3 linked regions of the Drosophila melanogaster genome follow. The protein of the gene in region 2 interacts with the protein of the main gene of each other region in a pairwise test. Each region holds a gene or a part of one and is shown on either strand. Other genes may lie near its edges.

Evidence for each region.
Region 1: the proteins of zfh2 (region 2) and tn interact in a two-hybrid assay, tested with the Drosophila melanogaster proteins (one large-scale study listed by BioGRID).
Region 3: the proteins of zfh2 (region 2) and YL-1 interact in a two-hybrid assay, tested with the Drosophila melanogaster proteins (one large-scale study listed by BioGRID).

What each region holds. Positions count from the first base shown.
Region 1 is NT_033778.4:18,985,315-18,991,442, reverse strand, and holds the start of tn (thin), read right to left. Parts: upstream 4,100-6,128; 5' UTR 3,752-4,099; intron 2,060-3,751; exon of another isoform or gene 1,755-2,059; intron 1,668-1,754; 5' UTR 1,577-1,667; intron 407-1,576; exon of another isoform or gene 110-406; intron 1-109.
Region 2 is NC_004353.4:499,633-505,779, forward strand, and holds the start of zfh2 (Zn finger homeodomain 2), read left to right. Parts: upstream 1-2,177; 5' UTR 2,178-2,225; intron 2,226-4,218; 5' UTR 4,219-4,506; intron 4,507-6,147.
Region 3 is NT_033779.5:10,968,333-10,973,692, forward strand, and holds YL-1 (YL-1), read left to right. Parts: upstream 1-2,110; 5' UTR 2,111-2,221; coding exon 2,222-2,355; intron 2,356-2,415; coding exon 2,416-2,548; intron 2,549-2,624; coding exon 2,625-2,925; intron 2,926-2,984; coding exon 2,985-3,472; 3' UTR 3,473-3,761; downstream 3,762-5,360. Other genes in the region: Tmem214 (transmembrane protein 214), read right to left, coding at 106-251, 360-564, 630-1,244, 1,301-1,596, 1,670-1,790; CG16743 (uncharacterized protein), read left to right, coding at 4,176-4,898; abo (abnormal oocyte), read right to left, coding at 5,204-5,360. UniProt on the Drosophila melanogaster protein: Part of the Tip60 chromatin-remodeling complex which is involved in DNA repair. Upon induction of DNA double-strand breaks, this complex acetylates phosphorylated H2AV in nucleosomes and exchanges it with unmodified H2AV.

The DNA.
Region 1 (6,128 bases), on a different chromosome or scaffold from region 2:
ACAACTAAATTGAAATGAATTCGATGAAATTTGGGTCAGCCAAAACTGAGCAGAAATCACCAACCAAAAAAAAAAAAAATTGAAATACATAGAAACCTCACCAACTTACCAATTGAAATGGGAAACTATTTGGCAATCCTTGCTGTTGCTGTCAAAGCGGCACTCGAAGGCAATCATAAAATGCAATTGGTTTTGGCAATGCGAGAATCCTTATAATTCAGTCCTTTTCAACTCGTTTTTGGGCACTTTCATTTAATGAGTACAATCGATTTCCGTTCGCCTTACTTTAATTTCAATATATCTAATTCGGTACGGTGTCGTTTAGATTTTTTTCTTATATTTTTTTTCAGTTTTTGCTGGGCAACACGCCTAGTAGAATTCGATTGGAAATGTAAAAAGCGACTGATGGCAAGTGAAAATTGCCAAGCACACGAGCTGAGCAACAGTCTACAATATTTTAAATATATATACAATCCGCGGCATTCTCTCCCGATTTCGCTGTGTATCTGCAGATATATACCGTCTATATATCGCCAGAGAGCGAAACAAAACAAAATGCGCGATCGTCAGACACAAACGCAAAAATATATTCTTGGCATCGTGCGTATGTATCTTTATCTACAGTTTGGCTGCAGCGCCATTAATAAGATACAAAGATACAAATGAGTACTTCGCACTGCATGTTACTTCCAAATGGAGTTCCCATTTCTCGCCTCGAACCTGGACATCGGCTACTTATTGGATTAACCGAAAAGATTTTCCTCCATTTAGTACGAATACATGCACGCACACTCTTGACGTCATCAACTGAGCTGATTTTCTCATTCGGACGCACGCCGGCATTTTCCATCTATATCTCATTGCTGGGCTATTTGTGTGCTTTTGTGTATCTCGCTGTAACGGGCCCTAAAAATAAATTTCATTGAAAATTGGAGCGAACATCGCTCGAATTCGCTGTTCCGTCAAACTAGTGGAACATTTCTCTGTGCCAAGTGAAAAGTTTCTACTTCCATTAGAAGTTTTCCCTTAACTTAAGTAGCAGTAAACCATTAGTTTGCTGCAATACGAACTAAAATTTCATATTCCATTCAAAAAGTTGTCCCTAAAAGTTACAATTAAGCTTTTTCTCAAACATGTTCAAAATATCTATCTGTATCTATTAACTACATATAATTGCATTCGGTAAGTAAGTAGGTTAAGTTCCCTACACAAACATTTGTTACTTTTACCAAAATAATTCTATCCAGTTTCGCAGTTTTTTTTTCTGTGCATGCTTCTCAAGGTCAGAACTTCGCTCCTCTAGCTCTGTATATATCATTCTATCTCCCTATGGGAATATGCCGAAAATAGAACTCACTAGCCCGGAATTCACAGACTGCAGTCTGCACTCCTAGGCCAAAAAGAAAAACAAATAAAGAAATGAAAACTGCACTGTATTTTTGGGCTATAAATAAACGGAGCAGACGGGAGAAGCAGATGCAATCGAAACTTTTTGAAATTTTAGCTGCACTCCCAAAGGAATACTATAGAAACTACAAAGTATTGTGACGTTCCAATTTCAGCGGTGATAACTTACGTTTCCAAGTGTTGTTTTCTTCTTATTGTCTACTTGGGTATCCGAGGCGCCCTTGAAAGGGGCCTGTTCCTTTGGCTGTTAACTCTGCTGGCTGAAATTAAAAAGAAAATATATTAAATTTAGAGCCAAAGGCAATTGTGAGTGAATTGTGGGGAGTGAGGGTCGAGTAGCCATTTACCTGGCCATTAACACGCTGCGCATAAGCCGCATCATGCCAACTTAATTATACGGCCTCAAAGGCTGCGGCACGCAAAACAATGATGAAGGCGGGTGGTGAAAGTTGGAATTCATTGGATGGCATGGGATTGGATGGGATTGGATAGTATTGAATGGGATTCGATTGGGCGCGGTTGACAGTCGAAGATAATGAAGTTCGGAATGCGCTTAAGGTTCGCTTATTGTGCACTGCGACAGATAAGCTCCTCGGTGGGCCACACACTCTTGACCAGGTTAATGAATAATCAGCTGGGGTCGAGCATATGGCTGCGAAGGTAGATCTTTTTAATTAACTTGCCGTGGCCGAGTTCCTTTCGACCAAAGGAAACAATTAAACAATGGAAAACCAATTTCCGAAACTATAATAACATGATTACATCGGCGGTCTTTTGAGCATCGAACGCGTAAAGGGAATTTAATAGAAATTAATTGTTCACACAATTGCATTGATATCCCTTATAATTAATTTTCTTTAATGAGCACAATTCGGAGCTTCATTGCGTTACTAAAATGATACAGTAAAATGTGGCATGAAAAATTATACATCAATTCATACATTTTATGATGATTTCGTTTTTAGTATTATTGCAGATTGGTTTTATTTGCAATCACTAAGCTTTTGAATATAGCAATATTTAAACATAATACAGATTTCAGCAACCAACAAGTTGACTTAAAACAAGTGACTTAAAAACTTCAATAGCTCGGAAACATTTGGAATATTTTTCCATATTAGATTTTGGTAATATAAATGCTATTTGTCTGTTGAAACAAAAACTTTTCAACAAAAAGGTGTACAACTTTATGTAGTTTTTAAAATACCTTTAAATGAATGGATAAAGAAAATGAGACAACACTAAGAAATCATAAGCAATACATTTACTTTAAAGTTGCCAACGCGCTACTTTCGAGCAGTTTTTAATTTAAGTTGCAAAAGTGGCCAGTAAATTCGAATCAAAACTAGTTTAGGTGGATATCTATTGCCAGCGTGCTGCAATGGCACTTCTTTAATGCTGCCAGCGACCTTGAACTTCCGCCCAGCTGAAGCACACTCGAAAAGAGCGGAGGAGGGATGGGGTTGGAGGGCAGATGAAGTGAATTGAAAAGAGGCGAGTGCTCGCAATAAAGCTAAAAGGAAAACTGGAAAAAACTGTTGCCTACTTTCCGGCGGCACATAAATTTAAACCGCACACGCCTCTCTCACTTAATCTTCCGTATTATTTTTATTTTTATATTTCGAAACGAGAAATTAATTGTTTTGTGTGAGAGGTGTGAATATAAAAATAAATACGAGAAAGCCCACCACAAACATTCCAAATGGATGGCGAGAATGGGAGAAGGAACAAGCAAAAGCAAAACCGAAACCGAAACAAAAGCAAACAAAGCAATCAATGATAAGCGAGCAGCGGGCAAAAGACAAACACAAACAACAGAAATGGAAATAGAAAATCTCTGAAAATGTCGCTGATTGAATCGAACTAAAAATAAGGCAGCAACACGGCGTATGAGCAATGTGCGTCTCTGTGTGCGTGCCTGTGTGTGTGAGTGTGGGCAAATTATTGCCATGCTTTCTGATGAGATATGCACACACACACACACACACACACACACGTAATATAGCGTATAACAGATCCTCATCAACATATATTTGTATACATGATTATGTCAAAATTTGTTAATAAATTTTGAACGCGAAGCCGAAGGAGATGAAAATAATTTTGACAGCTTTTCACGAATGTGGGAGTGTGCACACGGTGGGATGTTGAGAAAGCGCAATTTTCAGCCAGGTGACATTTTCCCAAGCTCCTTCTCTCGCCGAGATTCTCACGCCTTTCGCCGTTTTCTCTCTTCTTTTTTTTACATAATCAGCAGCCATTGAATGCGTCGAGCTCATCTCCATTTGAATGCGTTTCCAAAAACGAGCTTAAAATCAGGACGTATCCACCCCGTTCGACTCACTTGCGTTGGCTTCCTCTATTTCCTGATGCTTCGCGAAACTTTTGCAAATTTATTCGCATGCCTTGGCGGCACAAGGACTTTCACTGACTTCACTTTCAAACTGAGGTACGATGTATTACCGCCTTGGCTCAAACCAACACTCGCGTCGCGATTACTGGTGCTTTTGGACGCACCCTCACGCACTGCGCGACAGGTGAAAGATCTTTGGGTAGATCTTTGCACCCCTCTATATACACTTAATAGATATATATATATGGATATAGGTGGTTGGGAATCGAACTGGGCTATAGCTATTATCGGCGTATCGGTCCGCACGTCCACTCGCGAGCGTGCCAGAAATGAAAATGAATGTTTTTCTCTGCTCGACTCTCGAACGCTTGATGATCAGCCGTTCTTGAGGTGAAATTTTATAAATATAACCTGAGGCAACAACAAAAGTGCCACAAATATTTCTGCGTCTTCTTCCCACTTTCACGTAGCACTTTTGTTGTTTCCCAGCTTCACCCGACCCCAACGAACCTGTGCAAGAATTATATACATATATACATATAATATAATATATGTACCATAATTGTCTGTAAGAATTCCTCTCGCTTTTTACAATGTCGCGCAGAAAGTCCAAGAGCGACAATATATTGTTCAATACGTATTCTTACCTGTTATTGTTCTGGCTTATTTCGCAGTTATTAGAGTGAGATTTTCACTTTTCTTTAGTCCAGCGGAAAGAAAAGCTGAGGAAAAGATCGACGCCCACGCATTTATCTGGCAGAATGATTCATTTTCGAATTTTTTTAAATATTTATAGAAATATTGATACTTATATAGAATAAGGAAATTGATGTCTTAGCAAATATCGCGCGAGTTTTATGTAGTTATAGAATTCAGCATAATTAAAAGTGTTAACAGAAAGACAAATGATTTAGAGATAGGTAGGTTTTTTACTCTAGACATCATAATAAAATATATACGCTTAAGATTTGTCATTGAATTATTAATATTTATTTCATCTTAATTTATTAAGTTCTGTTTCTAAGCACTTGTTTACGTAATATATATTAATAATATGCCTAAGAAGATCAACATTTGTTACTATGTTGTCTTAAATCATTTAGTTCTTTAATATTACTTATTTTTCGCTTATTATTCTATAAATACCAAATTCCTCTCCGTCATCACATGCAGTATGATTGGTCTGCATTTAGCCATCCTCGCCAGACATTCGGTCTTTTGTTCGGTCATTTGCTTGTCCCACATGACATCTTGTCAATAGGCTGATGAATCGGGTTAGCCGTTAATATATTTTCGGAAAAAATAGCGAGCTAAAACAAAGCCGCAGCCGCAGTCAAAACAAAAACAAACCGAAAAAATGCGAATTATGAGCGGGCCAAAACAAAGATGTCAACACGTTCGCCAAGGCAGCTCAAGTTGTTGACGGACTCTAGGTCAGTCCCACTGACAACGCCATAGCCACAGCTATATCCTCTATTACACGCTGAGAAAAAGTTACTAAAATGGTAACCAAATGTATTTTTTGAATATATATAACATACATAATTAGGTTTCGAACAGCATCTCTTCATCAATATAATATTTTGATGTCACTAATAAAAAGTTAAAGTGTGTGCCCCTCCTATTCGATGCTGATATAACGAAAATTATTAATTAACGATGTTCCTTTGAAAGTAATTAATTTATCAAACTGCTTTCCAAGAATTAACTAAGGATTCGTATATTTTCCATGTGCATGAGAATCACCGCTGGATTTGTGCGCAGTTGCTGGTTCTCGTGAAATTGAAATTGCGTATTGCGGACATTGCATTGTGAACACTGCAACAAGGCTATCGGAACGGCGACAATTGTATAGCACGAGTTAAGACCCATTTCCATTAGCGGAGCGTCCGAAATAGTGGCATCTATTCATTCCCAGCATATTTGAGAGCAACTCATTAGGCCCGAGCCATGATTAATTAGAACTGATGGATGGCCAATTGACGAATGGAAGGCATGGCTGCGGCGATGCGAGCCAGGAGCCAGCAGCCAGGACGCATTATTGATGGACACGTATGCTGGGAATCCGGAACCTCCAGTGAAAGCCACTCGACCAGGGGACACTTGGCATTGCCAGCCAGCGCCTCGTCCTAATTGCCCAAGAAAGGGCAGCCAATTCAGTCAACGCAGGAGCAACATGGTAAAGTAGCAATAATTACGAATTAGCAGACAATTTCAAGTATTAGCCAAGTCCAACTTACTAAGAGGGTGGTCGCAAAAGTTGCTAGTTGATTGGTATTTTACAGCAAAGTTTAATTGAAATCGGCCAGGGATTATGGCCCTGAAAATAAGCTTAGTTCAAGGGCTTTTGAAGTAAGCTAATCCATTT
Region 2 (6,147 bases):
AAATATTTTATTTTTGAAATTACCATTTGAACTGCATCGCTTGCATATTTATACCCGTTGCTCGTAGAGTAAAAGGGTATACTAGATTCGTTAAAAAGTATGTAACAGGTAGAAGGATGACATTCCGACCATATAAGGTATATATATTCTTTATCAGGATCAATAGACGAGTCGATCTGGCCCTGTCCGTCCGTCTGCCTGTCCATATTAACGTCTAGATCTTAGGGATTATAAAAGCAATAAGGTTGAGATTAAATATACAGTTTCTAGAGACATAGACGCAGTGCGAGCTTGTTGCCACGGTCACTCTAACGTCCACAAACCGCCCAAAACTGCCACGCCCACAGTTTTGAAAAATATATTTTTATTTTTTGATTTCTCCCCATAACGGTCGCGACCATGCCTTTGAACAATTTAAAATTTTTCTTTTTTTATTTCCCAATGCCAAAAACTGTTGAAATTTTCCGTTCGCTTTTCCCCTAGCTGACTGATTTGTAGTTGATAGGATCCACCGACACCGGGACATTTGCACCACTCTATAATAAATATTAACCCGTGTATTAACCCATATGACAAATTTAATATCATCGCATATGTAATGCATATGCAAAATATATTTTTTATATTTTTTATATATTATATTACAAACACACTTTCAACAAAATATTTTAATTAATAAATAAAAGATTAAATGATGTAGATGTAGAAACTTGACCCTATAAGCATATATAAGCGCAGGATCACTTAAAAGGTCCGATTGTCCGTATTAACACCGATATCTCGGAAACTGTAAAAGATAAAAGAGAAAGAAGAATGCAGCGCATGCATGCATGTACGCATCGATCAAAAGTTATAATAGGGTACCAGATTCGATGAAAAAAAACCCTAAAAGTATATATATATTCTTGACCAGGATAACTAGATTCGATCCGTATGAATCCGTCTGTCCGTATGAACGCCTCGATTATTAAACATTCAGATTCCAGATACATTCCAGAGACGTATCATAAATACGCCCACTCTAATGCCCAAAACTGCCATGCACAAACTTTTCGATTTATTTTGTCTTTCTGATCGATTCTATCGATAGTCCTAAAAATGTTGAACTTTCTCGTTTGCACTCTTAAGCTTAAAAAATTCTTCATAAAAAAAATTTTCAATTATTTTTTAATGATTCGAGTGGTTTGTTCAACGAAGAAACATTTTAACATGCATTTTTTGACTATTCCGGTGGAATAGTACGCATGTACGCATGATATTTTACAAATATTGTACAATATTTACGCAAGACATGTCGCGGAAGTATAAACATTCTCTTTTGGTCCAGAAAAATGTTAAAAAGAACTCAAGGTTTCATAATTCATAACGGACGTGCCTGATCGGCTCTGCTAGTGATCCTAAATACATATGTAAGTAAGCATATTCAAGATCATCTCGGGTCGCATACATTCTACTATAGCGAACATAAAAAATATTACACACATAATATTGGGAAAAGCTTAATCGGTTTGCACATTCAAAAAATTTTATTTAATGACAATGTGATACGAATAATATTATACATATATTTTTGTATTTATAGATATTTTTGATATCTCCGAATACAAATATTGAGTAGTTATTGGGAAAACAAAGGATCTACTTTTAAATGTTGAGTCCACGATGCTTGCCTGTAGGTATTTCGGTTCAAAAGAGACATTGTGATAGTTTTGTACCAGTTTAATTACTATAATATTTCTGATCATTCTGCAGACAATGGGATGTGGAACTTGCCGTGTTGGATCTTTTAACATCCGTCGGCAGTAATACAAAAATAATGAAAGATGATTGCCCAAGCTGCACCCACACAAAACAAAGGCACACACACATGCATAACAACAGGCAGAAATTAAATAAGGAAAAGAGAGGCTCGCTGTGAAAGCATAAAGCACATTGGTACACCGTTTTATCACATCATCTCCCGTCTCGCTCTAACGTAATTACCACTCTGCGTGGCAATAATTACCCCATTACGGAAATCTCCCAAAGTCTCTCAGTGTCTCTCTTGAATGTTGATTTGTACGCATGACTCGATTCTGTTCGGCTCGGTCGGACTTTCGGAGAATAAAGAAGAGGAGAGCAGAGCTCGAGAGCCCCGGAGAGCATTAACCAGCAAGTAAACAAGTAAGCCTGCCTCTCAGCTCAGTCGAAAAAAAACGTTGAATGAGTCAGATGCGGGTCGGATGGTGAGTTTTAGAGCTCTCAAAGATGCGGTTTCGCTGTAGATCTTCATTATGATATATTTGCCGTTGGCGTGACTGTGAGACTAAATGTGACTGTGACTATTCGCTGGTTAAATGCGCTAAAACATAAAAAGTGACATAGTAAAAAACAACCAAAGAGTGAAACTAACTGCAATCTGAAATGTGTTACCTCTGTAATCAATCATTCACTGCTAGCCCAATCCCAATTCTGCGAATAGTGATATCTATGTAAAGTTCGATATGGGTGCGCGTTGTTATACGGCGTCTACTTGAGTTTTATATTTACTTTTTACTTTTGCGTTGTGTCGAACAGAGTATCACAAAAAAAACCTATAATGGCAAGAATGAAGAACACCGTGAACCTTTCGACCAGTTTCAAAAAAATGCATTGCGAGATCAGCCCAACTTCCTGCCCATACCTGCAAATGGATACATTCGATTAGAGTAAATAACAACCATGCCGGAACAATTCTGCGGCACTTCTTCGTAAAATATTCAGTTCGCTTCTGCTACATGTTTAAATCAGTCGGAAATATGGGTGCATGCTAACGGTGCAGTTCCGAGCAGAAAACAATACACTCACCCTTATCCTTATGTGTGAGGTGCATTGGTATTGGAGTTCTGGTCCCTAGCAACAAAAACTTCAATCCGTAGACAAAAGCAGAGTTTCATTCCACTTCCAATGAGGACAATCCTGCACTATTTTGTTTGATGTATCGAAGCTATCGAAAACGGATTCCGTCCGGGAATAGTTTTTTATTTTTAATTGCATTATGTGCCAAACGATCCCAGCCGAGTAAAGCCGAGCTGCCTTGAGCTGAGAGCAACGAGGGTGTGCGAACGGAAGTCGCAGGAAGGAAAGAAGCTGAAAAGAGCACACCACAGGCACAGGAAAGGGTGCTGTGCCGCGCTAGTCGGTTGTTGGATGTTCTCTATGAATTGCCTTCAGCGATTTAATGAGCACGTGGTCCACGAGAGAAGTATATGCAAAAACGCTGTGTGTCTATTTCTGTCTCTGTCTTGGTCTTGATAGCTCTCCCCTCTTCGTCGCGGTGTCTGCACTGGGGTGGGCGGATGGCAAGTGATGGGAGGGAAAGGAAGCAGAACTTCCCACTTGTGATTGTGCTTGTGACTGTGCGTGTGTGAAAATGTGTGTATAAAAAAGAGACAACTGTCTCGCTTGCGATATAAGCAGCCAACTAGGAGTAAAAGTGTTTATATTAAAATGCAAAATCCCAAGAAGTTGGCAAATTAAATCAAGGGGCGTAACGCGCGCGAACACACTCTCCTTGCACTCATCCAATTCGCTCGATTTGCTCTCTTGAAATTTGCACACATTGCAGATATAATTACAAGTGTAAGAAAAAAAGACATTTAACATAGTTTTCAGCACCCGTTCGTTCTATATAAAAAAAAGATTTTGTGTGAAAGTTAATGTCTTTTCAAGCCATTGTGAATTTCTTTTATTTGGTCTTTAGTACAATCATTCTTTCAAAAAACTGGAGCCATATATGTATGTACAGTGATAAAGTGGTAAAGTCCTTGGCAAAACTACTTTTGTGTTGCCAACTGACTGCTGTGGGTCGATCACCTTTCGACTGTCACCTGCCACTGGTCACGGCAATTTCACCCGCATACACCTGTATACATATGTACATAAACTGGCACATCAGGGTTTTTACTTAATTGGGTTCTTTTTAAGCCTTGCTGTTGCCTGCCGGCTTCTCCCTAACATCCTGTCTATTGACCACCTGTCTCAAGTTGATGGCTTCACATAAATGCAAAATCAAAACCGCAAACCCTATTGAGAGAGACCGTATTTGAGGGTCAGTAAAATATGTAACCAATAATTTATATATAAAATATACCAATGTCTGAAGAACTTTGCACAATTCGAATGTATAACACTAACTTGTAATAGCTAAATATTTCAGGTGAAAATAATAATAAAATTGTTCACAAAATTACTCTTTAGGTGCCGCAGGCTAATTATCTCGCCCAAATCCACGAGCGCTCGATTCAAAAGTTCCTATAATATTTAAGCCTAAAGTTAAACATAACATAGTACAAACTATCGCCGCTAACTTAAAGTAATTCACGATTGAACTAGCTAATAACCCAACTTACTCCAAGTCTAAACGCTCGCAAACATACATAAGTGCAAAAACAAAAACAGCAAGGAGAAATCGAACGCCCTTATTTGAAGGATCTTCATTTCAATCGTCGAATGGCTTAAGGATTCAACTTTTCATAAGGACCTCAAGTGAGTACAATATTAGATTTGGTAAGGGTATGTTGTCTAGTTGTATGCGCAAAATTGGTCCTTTGTATACAAATAATCATATCATAGCCTCCAGAAGATATGGATAAAAAATATGTCTCGATAGTATTTTATTTTCAAGTACAAACCAGTTACGAATCTTATTTTATATATGAATAAAACAAGAACGTATTCATTATTCGTGTATATCGACTATATATACCCTCATAGCCGTCTATAAGACATCATTACCTCAGTTATACAATCAGCAATACCTCATAACACAATGAATTTTCGGTTACACCTTTCATGTTGAGTCCCAAATACTATAGATCAACAATGACGGTTAATGAGAAAATATATATATTGTTTCCATTTTATTTCTATGACATTTTTTTTATTAATGAGTCCGATTCGTTTCGACATATTTACGTATATACTAAATACAATAGAAAGAATATTTTCGGGAAAAGTTAATGCTTTAATAGCTTATAGCCTTAAATCTGAGAGAGTATTTGGCGTAGGAACAAGCAGGCAAACTGACTATATAAGCTCGGCTGTTTTTGCTGATCAAGAATATACCTTCACTACATTGCATACTTCTGAGAAAAATTGCATATAGTGTAGGCAATAAGAACGCCTATATGTAAGTTAAATATCATTAAATAAGTTCGTATTTAACAGCAAAGGCTGCAAATTAAGAACGAACAAGTATTTGCAAACATTATTGTCTGCGGAATTAGTGTTTCGTATAAGCGCACCAAATAATAGCTATTGGTTCATCATGTCAAGTCACCCATTGGAACATTTTAATTACTTAAAGACTTCTAATTAGCCAATGACGATGAAGCTCTCACAGAGAGGTGGAAGGGGATTACTAGTCCCTTGTGCTTTGAGTCTTGAGAGTTGGTTCAACGAACGAATTGAACTTTACCGAAATAAGCTGAGCCGAACAGAAAAATAACAATGCCGAGCAGAGAACTAAAATCATCCAGTAATTAAGCACATAACAGACAAAAGCAATGATGACGAGAGCAAAGCCCTCATACTGAGAGCTTAGGGCTTCGCTCTTTAGCTGTTAAATCTCTGATGTTGCCAGTGCAGAAACAGTGGAAACATGGCAGAAACAGCGGAAACGGAATCAAAAGAAGAGTAAAGCAACTGAATGCGACAACCGCCTAAGCGCGACTTGATTGGTCGGTTGTCGCTACTTAAAGTCCGCGGCTCCCGCTCCTCTCCCTTCTGTTTTGTTTCGCTACTTACTCCTCCTCGTATTTTCTCTTCTCTTGCCGCACGTCCGCACCTGCCGCCTCAAGCCTCTTCCTCTGTGGGTTTGGTATTTGCTTTGCTATTTGTGTTCTCCGTCATTTGTGGGTGGCTAGATGGGTGGTTTATAGAACAGCGTTAATTGATGCCGTTAGAATCACACCCCATTGGCTTTGTCACTGGCTTGGTACGGGATACGTGATTCGTTGCAGCAGAATCCCTCAACCACCACGCTAAACCACTCTGTCCATAGAAAGAAAGGAGAAGCCTTCTCTTTAGCGCAATTTTAATTACCAGAACAACCAATTAAGCACTAACGCTTTCACACTCCAACCGTCTCTCTCGCACGCTCTTGATATTCTCTTGTTAGTTATCTAC
Region 3 (5,360 bases), on a different chromosome or scaffold from region 2:
AAAACTATAAAAGATAAAACAACACACATTCAACATTCACCTTTTATCGATCTGGGATCAGAGCCTTATGCTTGGAATCGAGTGATATACTTAAGTCGCACTCACCAACAAAACCTCCTTTAAATCATCTAGGTGACCTTCGTTTCTCTTGCTTCCCTGCAGTTCTTCGTTCAGATTCGCCACATCTTGCAGAAAAGAGTGATACACAGTCGACGTAGCCAACTCATGGGTAGACGTGGTCCAATTGTCGTCTAGGAAAAGATAGAAATTCAATATTAGATAACACATTAACGTTAAGTGTGGGTGGTACTTTTAAACAAAAATCCAATTAAATGAATTTTCACAGCTGTAGATCGTACTTATAGCTTTCAGAAGCAGTAGACTAGGCAACTGTTGCTTCTTGTAGTTCATGCGCCACACCCTGAGGCAATCATCTCTGCCGCTGCTGAGCAGACAACTAATACAGCCTTCGATCTCATTAGTCTGCTTGGATCCGGCGCTTATTTCCCGGAAGAGCGTAAGGAATATGTTGGCATGCCTCACAGGACTGTTGATATAGTGTTGCTACACACAGGAGGAAGAAAGGTCAGTGAAACAATGGGACAACTATCAATTGTTTTCGTCCTTACAAGCAACAAACGCGCACTACGCTTCAGACTTTGCTGCCATTCCTTGGGCAGGTGGTTATAGGGTGCATTGAGCGCATTGTAAGTGGCAAAGAACTCCTGCTGGTTGATCTGCAGAGGATCCGCTGTCTTCCGGACAGCTGCTGCACTCAGAGCCCGCTCCATATACTCGACCACAAACTTGGTGTACTGCTTTAGCTCCAGGTTGGGCAGCATCAGGTTCTGCCACACGCGAACGCCCTCGTTTAGGGACTGATAGCCACCTTGTCCAATTGCCCACAGGATGCTCAGGCAGATGTTGCTACGGTTCTGATAGGAGTTCCTTAGCAACGCAGTCTTGGCCAGGTTCCTAGAACAAATGTTCGGCCAGTTTTGACCGATCAACTGTAGGATGAGCTTGTAGCCTGCCACTGTCTGATTGTTGTTTAGATCCGTTGACATGCTATCCAGCAGGGAGTAGAAGAAATACTCCAGGTTTTGTTCGCCCACACTGCCCAGAAACTCCACAATTGAGTACTTGAGCGAGGCGCTGGCCAAATTGCTGGGATACTGAGCCGAGCGGCCGGAGAAGATGGGATCGCAGTCATAGGACAAGGCTTCATTGAAGTATAGCGCAATCTGGGGGACAACGATAGGTGAGCAAATATTTAGGCACATTTCCTTTAGAAACATACATGGCTTAACCAGCGCAGCTCGGAGCCAGGACAACTGAGCTTCACCTGCTCCAGTTGGGCAGCAAAATCATCCCGGGTGATGTTTCTCAAGGCCAGCTCCAGAGTCTTTGGCTTCGATGCGGCTGCCGACGTGGTCCTTTTTTGGGTAGAGGCATTCTTTGCGGTGTGCTTTTTAACTGGCGACTTATTGGCTTTTGAGGAAGATGAGGCACTTGAACTAGATTTCGCAGGGGAATGGGACTTGCTGTTGTTGTTGTTGCTGCTGCCGAACAAATTGCGATACCGCTGAGTTGGCACTGCGAAGTGAATAAAATGGCAGGGGCAAACATGTAATCGCATTGCAAGGTGCACCTTTTAAAAGATTCTTACACAGCTCCTCCAGTTTGGGCAACTGGGCCGCGATGCGCTTCTGCTCGTTGTGTGCAGACACCTTCTTGTCCAGATTCTTTTGCTTGCGCGACTTGGAGACCACCTCCCATTGTTCCGACATGTTGCGAGCAGTCTTTTTATCGATGGTATTAAATTAAATCAGAAAATGCAGGCAGCCGGCAGAATAAAAAGCAACAAGCCAAGAGTGTGGCCAGCGCAAGTGTAAAGTAATGTGGTCTACTTTCGGTAGTTGAATTACCGACCGCTTTTTAATGTGATTTTAAAGCAGCTGCCTGCTTTTTGTTGTGATACATGTAATAGATAAATAAATAAATTTAGCTATGTTTTAAATGTGTTTGAATAACTGCCAATGCAGGAGAAACCATTTTCTTTACCAGGGCTGAAACGCATACCAAAGTTGTAAAGCCTCTGCGATATATACTATGTTTGCTACATTGGTCACACTGCTCTGCTTGTTTACATTTACAAATTGTAAAATATTATTATTTAATAGCTGCTTTAAATCATAGTTTCTATATATAAATAACAAAAATGGCTGCCTCGCGATCACGGCGCAACAATGCCGGCAACAAAATAGCTCATTTGCTCAATGAGGAAGAGGAGGACGACTTTTACAAAACGTCCTATGGTGGATTTCAGGAGGACGAAGAGGATAAGGAATACGAGTGAGCACTAATCATTTGAATAAATTTAAATGCTCAAGCCATATAAAATTCACTCTGCAGGCAAAAAGACGAAGAGGAAGATGTGGTTGACTCCGACTTCAGTATCGATGAGAACGACGAGCCCGTTTCGGATCAGGAAGAGGCGCCCGAGAAAAAGCGGAAACGCGGTGTCGTTAACACAAAGGCTTATAAGGTGCGAACCATTCTTAAAATGCGATAAAATCCTGTGATTACTGAATGTGTTTAAATGGTACATATGATTTCCGCAGGAAACCAAGCCTGCAGTCAAAAAGGAAACAAAGGCAACGCCGGCCCTGCACAAGAAACGACCTGGTGGTGGGGTAACGAAACGGCGGCCACGTCCACGCTTCACGGTCCTCGATTCCGGCCGCAAATCCATACGCACTTCCACGGCCATCAAGACACAGGCTACCAAAATACGCCTCAAAGAGTTGGACGATGCCCGCAAGCGCAAAAAGAAGAAGGTGCGCGTGGAGGACTACATGCCCACGCAGGAGGAGCTGCTGGAGGAGGCCAAAATAACCGAGGAAGAAAACACTAAATCTTTGGGTGGGTATCTAAAGCAACCAAGGAAGCAGCTATTTTACAATTTGCTGTTGCATTCACAGAGAAATTCCAGAAAATGGAGCTGGAGAAGAAGAAATCACGTCCCACCAAGCGCACGTTCTCCGGACCCACGATACGCTACCACTCACTAACCATGCCAGCGATGCGAAAGCCCACTCGCGGAGCAAACCCTGCGGTCGATTCAAAGGATCTTGCTGGGAAGTGCGAACGCACATTCGTTACAATCGAGAACGATTTCAATGACAAGGTGTTTCAAAGCCTCTTCCGCCACAAGGCGCCTCCCAAAGCCAGCAATGGCATCTGTCCAATCACCAGGCTGCCAGCCCGTTACTTTGACCCGATCACACAGCAGCCATACTACAGCATCCAGGCCTTCAAAATTCTGCGCGAAGCCTACTACATGCAGCTGGAACAGCAAGGCGGCGGCAGCGAGCAACCCGAACTGGCCAAATGGCTGGAATGGCGCAAGCTGGTCAAGGAGAATCGTCTGAAGGCTTCGGCAGCTGCCAGCAAAAACGGAGATAACTAATAATGCTATCAATTTTATAGTTCATTAAGCTATACGTATTTTTCGAATAAAAAGGTATAAGAAATCACAAACTACTCTTTGGACAACCCTCGTCAATTTCAGGCAGTACCAAACGATTACCTAATATATTTCATACAATGGCGACAATGGAAAAGTAGTACATAGGGTATTTCCCAAAACGTTATCTTTAAAAAGTATTTATAATCAACGCACAGTCTGTTTTGATTTTATTTATCAGCAGCATCCGGTTTATTAACTTAAGAAGTTGATAAAACAGTTTACACAAAAGAAAGTTTATCTTGCTAATCCAATTTGTATATGTAAAACCCATTTATTACCTTTTAGTATCTAATTTTAATTGCCGCTCTATTTAAAAGTTTAGTTGTCTAAATAATAAAAGCGTCGCAGTCTTCTATTAAGATTATTCAAAAGAATTGTTTCGCTTAATTTGCGTCAAATTGATAAGCACACAGCCTCTCTTTGCAATATATAACAAAATCTGGAGGAAATGCGGTTGTTCCGACACACAATAACTAATTAATAAGTATGAGACATTACATCACATAAATTATTAACCCATTGTATTCTCTATTTATAATCTATGGGCGAAGTATTGTTCATTTCCGAATGAAATTGTTTTTCAATCCTAAACTCTTACAGGGAATTAGTTGAGTGGGCCCTGCCGCAACCTTGTCGCATCTGTATGTTTTTGTCGACTTATCAAAATCAACGCACGCGCTGGCTATTTGAATTGTCGGAACGGGAACGGGACAAGGTATTGTGTGAGCAAGATTTAGTCATACCCGTGAGCTTAGATCAAACGAACGTCGTGCGTTTAAACGGAGAAATGAAGAGCTGTGCGGCGATTGGAGTCCTTCTGGTACTGCTACTTCAGTACGAAGTGGTTAGGACGGACAGCGATAGCAGCGACAGCAGCAGCAGCAGCAGTGGAGAGAAGAAGCACAAGCACTCCAAGACGGAGCACAAGTACAATTATCCTGCATATCCTAATCCGGGCTATCCTCCGTATCAAGAAATGGGAGGCTATCCTTCATATCTCTACAATCCGTACATGCCGTATCCTCCGTATCCTCAAATGGGAGGCTATCCTTCATATCCCTACAATCTGTACATGCCCCCACCACCACCACCACCGCCACACCCGCAACAAGCTCCGCCACCATCAATGTATCCACCCGACCCGTCCGGATATCCAGGCGGCTATCCACCGCAGGGGGCTCCCGGACAGAATCCAGTTAACAACCCAAATGCGATCCCCAATCAGCCTCAGGCACAGCAGCCTGCCAGCGGCCCGGGATCAGGGCCTGCCCCGAACTATCCTCCAGGCGGCTCGAGCGTTATTAATCATTCCCTTAAGGTCAACAAGGAATACAACGAGGACGGTCACCACCAATCTTCAACGTAGTCGCAGTCGAGATACAATGTTACATGAAACTTTAAACGTCGGATTGGGCCTCAAGTTTCAAGTCGGCCTTCAATACAATGTAGCAAAGTCGAATTAAAGATTTAAACAGTACTTGGAATTTTCACAATTTTCACAGTCTTTGATTAAATAAAAGAAAGAAATGTTCTCTTACCATTGTAAATAAAGACATTACTGAAAAGGTAAAACGAGATATTTTAGTATCACATATATTTCATAATATAAAAGGTACTTGAATATGTTTTATACACAAATGTACAAAATCATGTATGTACATATTAGGCAGTCTACTTTTCCACTATTGTGCTGTGGTTATACAAGTGCACGTGGTAGACGTAGCTGTTCATGCATTTCTGGATACTGAGCACTAGTGGGTCAAAGGGATGCCAAATAAAGGCGCACAATTCCCGTGGCGCCAAAGGATTTAAATGCCGGCGGGCCGTA